Rattus norvegicus: one gene and its partner. The protein of the gene in region 1 purifies or fractionates together with the protein of each later gene. This does not show direct contact. Links are inferred from orthologs where the notes say so. Each region holds a gene or a part of one and is shown on either strand. Other genes may lie near its edges.

Region 1 (4,526 bases):
ACTGTACTTATTTAAAATTGTATAAGGACTAGAAATTAAGACATAGCTGTAAAAAATGCAAAAACCTGTCCCGCTGATCTTGCATTCTTGATAAACATAAGCCAAGAGTGCTCTGAGAATGGCAGGAGGAATCTTTATAGAACCCACTGTGCTTGTTGTGGTCAGGGGATTCTCTGCAGGGGTGATGTTTGAGTTAAGAAAATGACAGGAAGAAGTAAGTAAATAGAACGTCAAGCGGTGGAACAATTTTGTAGGAGGGTTTTTCTTTTTGTTGTTTTTGTTTTTTAAGGAATGGTTAACCATGCTGAGTGAAACTTGGTAATTTCTAGGAACCTTATGAAAGCCTCAGGGGCCAGCAAAGGACCAGAATGTTAATGAGGACCCAGAGTTAGGTAAGGAGTTTAGTGGTTACTCCAAGTACAGTTGGTTTCATAGGGTGTTGTAAATCAGGAGTGGGAAGGTACAATTGACCTCTTAAAAATATTGCGCTTCGGGTTTATTTCTTTGAACATAGTTAGAATTTCCTTATCGGTCGAACAACATCACTGCCTCCCCTCCTTCGCCCAGGATATTTGTTCAAGCTTAGATTTGTTTGCTCGGGTTGACAGCTTGGGAGGAGTGTGTGACAGTTGGCTAGCGCTGTTGAGGCCAAGGCCCAGCCAAGTCGCCGCAGGGGCCGAAATCTCATAGGCTGCGGGGGACTGCCCCGATTTGGCACCGGAAACAAATGGGCCCCAGGCAAGGCCGTGAGTCTTAGGGGGAAGGGGAAACTTGGCTCCCTCCAGTCTAGCTCGGCAGTATCAGGTCGCATGCCCTGCAGGCTGGGAGCAGTCAACTGCTGGTGTCGAGTTAGGACTGGACTAGGCAGGCCGGCCTCTCGGCCCACAACCTCTGCGCGCACGGTCCGTTCTCCTACACCCCGCGCCGGGTTTTGAGATTTGCTCACAGTTTTATGCCCAGCCCTAAGCAAAAGGCACCCAACGTCTCCCGGGCCCCTCCCTTCCTCTGGCCTCCGGTTTTGCAGCAGGAGCTGCAAGGCGTTCTGCTAATGGAAGGAAAGTCCTGCCGACCACCGCCGCAGGGCTTGCTCCTGCCGCTAGGAATAGCGTCGTCCCGGGCTAGCCCAGCGTAGAGGCCGACGCAGCCCGGGCCTTGCCGCTTTCAGAACGCGAATTTGGCGACTGGCTCTGTGGCGACGGCCTCACCGGCCGCATTTCCGGGCTCAGTGCCGGGGTTGCCGCACCCGGAACACAGCCGGATGCAGTAGTAGGTGTATCAGTTGTCTGAACCGGGGTACTACAGCTCTGCGGCAGAGACAGCGCGGCGGCTCCGAGTGCGCCGCTGGGGGCGGGGCTTAGCCCCGCCCCAGCACTGAGCGCCTCTCCGCCGCCTCTCCGCGGAGTAGGCCAAGGGTTGGGCTATGCTCAGCGTCCACGCCTCAGTGGGCCTTTTGCAGCAGTTGCGAAAACCCGGAACGAAGGTGTTGTTGCCGTGCGGCGGAGCGGCGCCGCCCCTCGCCGCACCTCCCCGGCAGCCTTCCGAGGCCTTGCTGGGCATGCTCAGTCGTCGGGGCCGCTTCAGCTCTCGGAGTAGAAAGCTTGGGGCGCTGGGCTGGTGAGGACCCGCAGCGGGCGAAGATGGAGACCTTTACCAATGGTGAGTGGCTAACCTGAGTCGCGGATTCCCGGGCTCTCAGGGTCTAGAGGGTCAGTTGTGGCACGGGGGTCGGGCTGCAGGCATCCCCGCCAAGGGTTTCCCAGGCGGGCCGGGGGCGGCAGAGGGGCCACGGGCAGCTGGGGCGGGCGTGAAGGTCAGCCCTCTCCCGGGGACCGGCGCCGAACCACCAGGTGAGGTAGTCCGCAAAGTTTGGGATGCTTGCGCCGTGGAGGGGGCGGCGGCAAAGTTGGCAGCCGCGTTGGTCCCGGGGGAAGCGGCCACGGCAGGGATAAGCTGCGGCCCGGGTGAAAGCCAACTGGTGCAGGGAGCGGGGGAGCTGTCCGCCCGTCCTTCAGCGAGCAGCCCGCTTGCTTTTCCGTAATAGGGCGGGGTGGGGCCGTGGTGCTGGCAGCGTGATTTAGTGCATCGCAGGGAAGGAAACTTACCAAGGTCTGGCTAGTACTGCTCCGTGCGGCGAAGATGCTGCCCCGCATTGCCACCCATCTGCCTGCTGCTGCTCCACAGGACGACCAAACTTCTTTTTACCAGCTAGGGATATTGATCTTCTAGTTAGAGACCCACTGAGTATCAATGGTCCCTGTCGGGCTTATATCATAAGGTGGCATGGGGGTGAAAGTCAAAGCAGTCTGGCCAGAAAATAGCCATAGCTTGAGTTTCAATATAGAGGTGAGATGTCTCACCATTTTATGGTGTTTAAATATATAATATATTGATTCCTCACTAGGATATAAAGTAGGAAAACTGCTAATAAAGGGTAGGACTTACTGAGATTAGAGGATCCACATTCTAGTTGGCGAGCATTTCCAGTGCTGTTGGTTACTTCAGGTAGGTAGAAAATCAAATTAATGGGAGAGAAGCGTATTACTGTTTGGGTGGGTTGCTTGCCACTTAAGGAACTGGGCGGGGGAGGGGACACCCCCTCTATCCACTCTTAGGCCTAGGCCGGACTTTGTTGTGTACTTTAACATGCTTTACCACATTGCTAGAGCAGTGACCTACTCATTATGTTCTCCTTTCCCTAATTCAGGATGCTTTATTCTACTGCCATCTTTCTGTCTGCAGCGTTTAATTAGGCTTAGTAATGACAGCTTTAACTCCAAGTTTCTTTCTCATCTGTGTTCTATTTGTAATTACCAAGGCTCTAAGAATAGTCTGGTAAACTTACCCAAAGAATTAAGGAAGATTTGTACTGAAAGGCATCATAGAGACCATCTAGTAATTGACTGTAAAATACGCTTAAAAGAGGTATTAAATATTCCAAGACGTTTTCTTCCTCTTAGGCAGAATTATTGGAGGCTCCTTGTTTGTAGGATTTTTAAATATGAAATTTCACTCATTTGAAAACAGTGTCTACACAGGAGTGAGTCATTTATTTAGTCAGTTTTATCGGTGGTTGACATGCTGAACCTTTCCCTACAGAATTAAAGTAGATTTTCACACCTTGAAGTTAAAATCTTTTCTCCTCCCACAGAATATCACTTTTTAAGATGTATTTACAAATTGTCTCATTTGGGAGGACCATGGGAAAACCCTAGAGAAAAGAGACAAAAGTTCAACTTTCATATAGGAAGTTGTATTTCTAGTTGTAGAAAGCTACCAGTTTTTCCACAGTTGACGTTGGAATTGATTGGCAATATGTCATTTTAGTTAATGTTATTTGTCCTCCTTTAATCAGGAAAGTAGGAACTACACCATATAATGTAAACAAGACCTTGGATATTGCTAATTTAAGGTACTTTGCAGATTTGAAGGTGGAAAAGGTATTTCCTTTAAAACTTTTGAAAGTTTGCTGTAGGATTTTCAAGTATCTTCAAATATATAGTGGAAACTATATTTCTGTAGTTAGGCTTTTGAGTGCAAAACATCAATGTGTAATTCTATAGATATTCTCTTACAGACTATCTGATCATTTTACAATTTATGGTTGAAGGACTTATCAAGCTTAATATTGGCCTTAGTAATTGATCCTCCTTTAGTAAACCTTTCTCATTTACATGCGCTTGTATGTCCCTTCATAAGGAGGTATGTATAGATGTATGGTGAAGTTTCAGTAACCCTGGACCCTTGGCTTTCCTAAAATACTGTCAGCAGTTCATTGACTGACTCACAAGTCCATAAAGTAAATGAATTTAGTCTCGTCATTCCAACTCCAGAACTCAGTGACCCCGGTAGCATTTTCTATAATTTCCCTATTTTCTGTGAAATGTGCTGCTGGAGTGACTCATTTTCTTGAGCCTTGTTCTCTGCCCGGAGTAATAGGTTCATGTATTAATAAATATCTTGTGTTCATCAGTTTGGTTAATAACTGTTGCAACCCATTTGAAATTCATGCTTCTAGAAAAGGCCTATAAAGATGGACTTTAGTGCCAGAAGTTCCTATTCGGCTCAGGAAATAATATTTTTTGCCTTGACCTTGAGAGGGACTGTTACTGCACTGAAAGCCGGACATCTGGTCTGTCTCTGGTTTCTCTGGTGACTTTTTATGGGTACAGGAATGTTAACTCATACTTATGATTGGTTTGATAGTAGCTGCCTCCTCCTGTTAGGCAAGCAGAGACGAAACTCTTAGGAGAGTAGTGACCTGTTGGCTTATTAACACCACAGAAAGTTCCTGGAAGCTAAGTTTTCTAAGAGATACTAGATTAAGACAGCTAATTACTAGATGTCCTTCTACCTTTCTTCTCATTTGCTTGAGATCTCACAGAATAACTTCAGTTTGAATTAAGAGATGCTAAAATTCAGGGCTTAATTGCAAAATCTGGTTAAGGAGGCCCAGGGTCAGGCCTGGAAATGTCTGATTGCATTTTGATGATAGTAGAAATACTCATTTAAAGAGGGTTTGGGGGAAG
Region 2 (4,556 bases), on another chromosome or scaffold:
AAATTTGCATATCTATGAGGTTCAGGCCAAGTCTCACCTCTTTCTCTTTCTTAGAAAAGTTCTGCCTCAACTCCTCTACTCCTTCAGTACTGACATATTTTAACACCTCTCTGCAGGATTTTTTTTTTGTTCTCTTAAATTCAATGCCATCTTGGGTAACACAAGCCAGAACACCCATCCTAAACAAATTTAAATACACACACACACACACACACACACACACACACACACACACACACACACGCGCGCGCGCGCGCGCGCGCGCGTGTGTGTGTGTGTGTGTAAATTATGTGTACTTACGCGCGCGCGCGCGTGTGTGTGTGTGTGTGTGTGTGTGTGTATAAATTATGTGTACTTATGTAATGTCCGCTGTCATTGGATTCGAGGCAGCATAAAATCCCCTGGAACTGGAATTACAGGCAGTTGTGAGTGATGGGAACTGAACCTGAGTTCTCTGGAAGAGCAAGTGCTCTTGATCACTGAGCTCTCTCTATCCAGATCCTTAAGGGGATTCTTCTGCCTTAGCCTCCTAAATACCTAAGAACTGGGACTAAAGCATGTGCCAACCTGGCTTCATTTTTTTTAAACATGCTCTTTATAAGGCAAATAAGGAAAGGGATTTTCTTCTTTAAAATTAGGGAGAATTGGCGGTTACTAAATTGACCTAAACATCAAATCCTTAACTGCCTTTCTCTTGGGGTAGCAGGAACAAAGCTGGTTTCATATGTAGTTACATAGATGATAAAAATCTGTTTCTTTCTCCAGTAGTCAAAGCTTTGGGTCACCAAACACAACCAGGAGCGATCAGGATTTTCAAAGACATAGCCAAATCCATAGCCACTTCAATCTTACAGCGTTTTCACCATATTGAAAAAGGAGTGGGTTACGAAATGGCTATTTTAAATCTGCACATGGCATCACCCTGTCGCTAGAGTATGTCTGATTTTAACGCCTGAAACAGCACGGGAACATGGGAAGGTGAGTTCATGTTGCATGATTGTGACTCTAGATAGTGTTTTGTTAGGTAAAAAGGTCCCAGGTTCAGGGCGATGACTCCGCAAGACAGTGTCTGCTGCCCAGAGGGATCTCATTCGCTGCATAAGCACACTGGCCTGACCTCTCACCATTTCTGATGAAGGGCATAGGTCCCAGACAGGATTGGAACAGGGTTTCTAACTCAATGGGTGGGAAAAGGTGTCTTTTGGATGGCCACCAACACACCGGCCCTGAGGAACCAGGTCGACCCACGCGAGGACGCACGCCAAATCCGCCCGCCCTCCGGCCCGCGCACCCGCCCGTTTGGTGACGGCCGCCTTCTTTCCTCATACCCAATCAGCAACCACTTCCTGCCTCACTCTTGTCCAATCATCACGCTCCACGAAGAATAGCCCTAGGGGGCGTATGGGAAAGAGCTTTGAGCGATGGCCGTATCTACCAATAGATTCTCAGATCTTGCGCAAAGGGACGGGAGTTGACGTTTGTTGTAGCCACTCAGGAACGAGGGGCGGACGCGGGGTTGGGCTTCGTGCGGTGGGGCTCGCTCGCGCGGCGGCGGTAGCCGAGGCCTCTTAGTTCTGCGGCACGTGACGGTCGGGCCGCCTCTGCCGCTGTCTCCACTGCAGCACGGGGCCCGGTGTGCGGGTGGGAGAAGGTGAGGGAGCCGCCAGTGGTCCCCGGGAGGCTCGAGGTGAGACGGGAAGCGTGTGCGGGGACCTCAGGCCTGGGACGAGTCTGGGTGAGCGGCGGCGCGGCGGAGGGGGTCGGGCGTGGCAGGAATCTCGACGGCTGAGGGTCCGGCGGGCATTCGAGTGGCGCAGGCCCGGGCGGACGCTCAGAGCAATGAGGAGAGCGGCAGGGTTAGAGAGACTGGTCTGGGCAGCGCCGCCGGGGTCGGGAGGCGTGGCAGGTGTCCTGGGGTTTCCCTTGACCTCTGAGAAAGCTAACTACTTCCTATGGCTTTGGTTCTAGAGTTTTCTTAGGCCCTGTCCTGGCCCACCCAGAGGTGGACTGAGTAATCCGGTATAGGTGTAGTATTAGAATTAGGCCTAGTAGGTAGCCCAAATAGTAGGGAAAGGTGAAGTAAATCCATAGAGATAAGCGTTACAGTTTCAATATTAGAAAATAATATGTCCAAAGCGAAGTCTGGACCATAGCACCCCGATGAGGGAGTAGAATGTACTAGAACGTGTACCGCTTGAGAAACTTAAGGCTTAACTATTAAAGCACCTGCCTATTCGGTGATGATAGATAGTGATCCAGTGAGGGTATTCACTGGACCTTAAAAGCAGGAAATACAAGCGAAAGTTCAGTTAGTGAGTGTAGGAAACTGAGGCCTAGAAGTTTGAAATGACTGGCCCAAGGTCATACAGGTAGTTCTAATCCAGTTCGGATTGTAACTGAGGACTAGACAGTTTGGGTTTCTTAGTTAAGGTTAAAAGTCCTGGTGCAAGCTCCTAACTGCAGTTTATCGGGGGAAGTGGGATTTGGGAGATTTTCTACTTTATGGCTCAGTCCCCTAGGAGTAGACAGAATGGCTGGTCTTGTATTAAAAGGTAATGGGAATGAGAAATTGGATGTATAGTAAAGGTTCAAGGAGTAGTAATTGCACTGGCTTCTTGTAGTCGGAGTGAATGCTTTGGTCATTACACTGATATACTAATTTTTATGTTAAGTCCTGAGGGCACATTAATGACACCTTGTATATTAACTGCTGGTCATGACATTAGTGATTGCTGGTTGTGTGAAGTTAAACCGAACTGAATATTAAATGCTTGACAGAGATGAGCTACGGTTTCTTTACCCTGAGGAAATGGAAGATTCTGCCTGTTTTTTAAATAATCCTCCCCCTTTTTAAAGGGAGAAATAATTGGGTTATCTGAAAAATCTTAGTATATTTTCTAGTACCATTTGAAAGGACACGAACGGAATCGATTCTCATTTTGTACTTGAGCTGTAATTAAGCTTACAGGCCAGGCAGGGTACACAAGTGAGCCAGGCCCTGAAGAACTGTTTATAGAAGTGAACTATCCACAATAGGAGTTTACTGAGCTGTCTGAAAAATGGGTGTCTCCGCCTTGCTATCTTAACAGTGCAATTAGCTCTGTAATCTTTCAAGGGCCACAAGGCACGTGCATCTTGACAACACACCTTGCATCCATGTCCTGGAGAGGTCACTTGCCCTGCCAGAGAACTTGAAGGGAGTAGAGTGGCAGTTGGTAAGCATAACTGCAGAATACAGTGTCCAGCATAGTAGCTTTGCTTCCTGTCCTTTATAAATGGGAATGAGTCTCCTACTTGCTTTACCTTTGAGGGGGCAGCTACTAAGAAACTGCTTTGGAAAGTATAAGGAAATGGGCAAATAGAATTGGCAGCTCATAAAAAGTCCTAAGAAGTAAAGTGCCAACCAAAGATAGTTGTAGTCTGTATAACTTACTGTAAAACTCATTAGGAACATGCTTATTAAATGCTTTGTTATTGCTACAAGTGCTAGGTAAGAATTTTTAGGCTTATTTATCTAATTTTTGGTGTATGCGTGTTTTGCCTGCATGTATGTATGTGTACCAATGTGTGTGAACCATCATGTTGGTGCTGGGGATCAAACCTGGGTCCTCTGGAAGAGCAGCCAGTGCTTTTAACCAGAGCTATGTCTTCAGCTCTGAAAAATTTCCTTTTTTAAAGAATCTAGAAAATTTTCATATTGTGGTATTAATGTCTTTTTAAAAATCTCGTTAAGATTTATTTAGGTCGGGAGAGATGCTCAGCAGTTGGGAGCACTGGCTGCTCTTCCAGAGGTCCTGAGTTCAATTCCCAGCAACCACATGGTGGCTCACAGTCATCTCTAATGGGATCCAATGCTCTCTTCTGGTGTGTCTGAGGACAGTATACTTATGTGCATGAAATCACATCTTCCCTCTGGCCTTTTTTTAATTTTTTATTTTTTTATCCTTTTTTTTTCTAAAGATTTATTTATGTATGCCTGCAGGTCACAAGAGGCACCAGATCTCATTACAGATGGTTGTGAGCCACCATGTGGTTGCTGGGAATTGAACTCGGCCTCTGGAAGAGCAGTCAGTGCTCTTAACCACTGAGCCATCCCTTCAGACCCCTCTCTGGCCTTTTTTAAAAAGTTGTATATATATATTTTTTAATCTTATAAAAGATATATTTAAAAACATTTTTATGTGTATATAGGTATAATTATATACAATATATTCATGGGTGCCCGTGGAGGCCAGAAAAGGGCATTATATTCCCTGGTGTTGGAATTACAGACTGTCATAAGCTGCCCATCTGGGAACTGAACCACCTCTCCATCCTGGGTATTCACATCTTAAAGTGAATTAATATGAAAAAAGTTAATTAAAAAAATTTAGTAGATGGATGGTGTGGTAGTGGCTCACCTTTGATCTCTGCATGAGGATAGATTTCTCTCTGAGTTCAAGACCAGCCTAGTCTACAGAGTGAGTTCCAGGACATCCAAGACTGTACAGAGAAACCCTGTCTCAAGAAACAGATTATTTCTATGTTTCTGTTAATGAAAAGAGATCCAAGAAGGT

The links.
Region 2: the proteins of Lnpep (region 1) and Canx purify together in Homo sapiens (affinity purification with mass spectrometry; 3 studies listed by BioGRID and IntAct, with this or other methods). This does not show direct contact. The link is inferred for Rattus norvegicus from reciprocal best matches to the Homo sapiens genes LNPEP and CANX.

Annotation. Positions count from the first base shown.
Region 1 is NC_086019.1:67,024,651-67,029,176, reverse strand, and holds the start of Lnpep (leucyl-cystinyl aminopeptidase), read left to right. Parts: upstream 1-1,566; 5' UTR 1,567-1,637; coding exon 1,638-1,656; intron 1,657-4,526. UniProt on the Homo sapiens protein: Release of an N-terminal amino acid, cleaves before cysteine, leucine as well as other amino acids. Degrades peptide hormones such as oxytocin, vasopressin and angiotensin III, and plays a role in maintaining homeostasis during pregnancy.
Region 2 is NC_086028.1:35,154,893-35,159,448, reverse strand, and holds the start of Canx (calnexin precursor), read left to right. Parts: upstream 1-1,591; 5' UTR 1,592-1,687; exon of another isoform or gene 1,688-1,735; intron 1,736-4,556. UniProt on the Homo sapiens protein: Calcium-binding protein that interacts with newly synthesized monoglucosylated glycoproteins in the endoplasmic reticulum. It may act in assisting protein assembly and/or in the retention within the ER of unassembled protein subunits.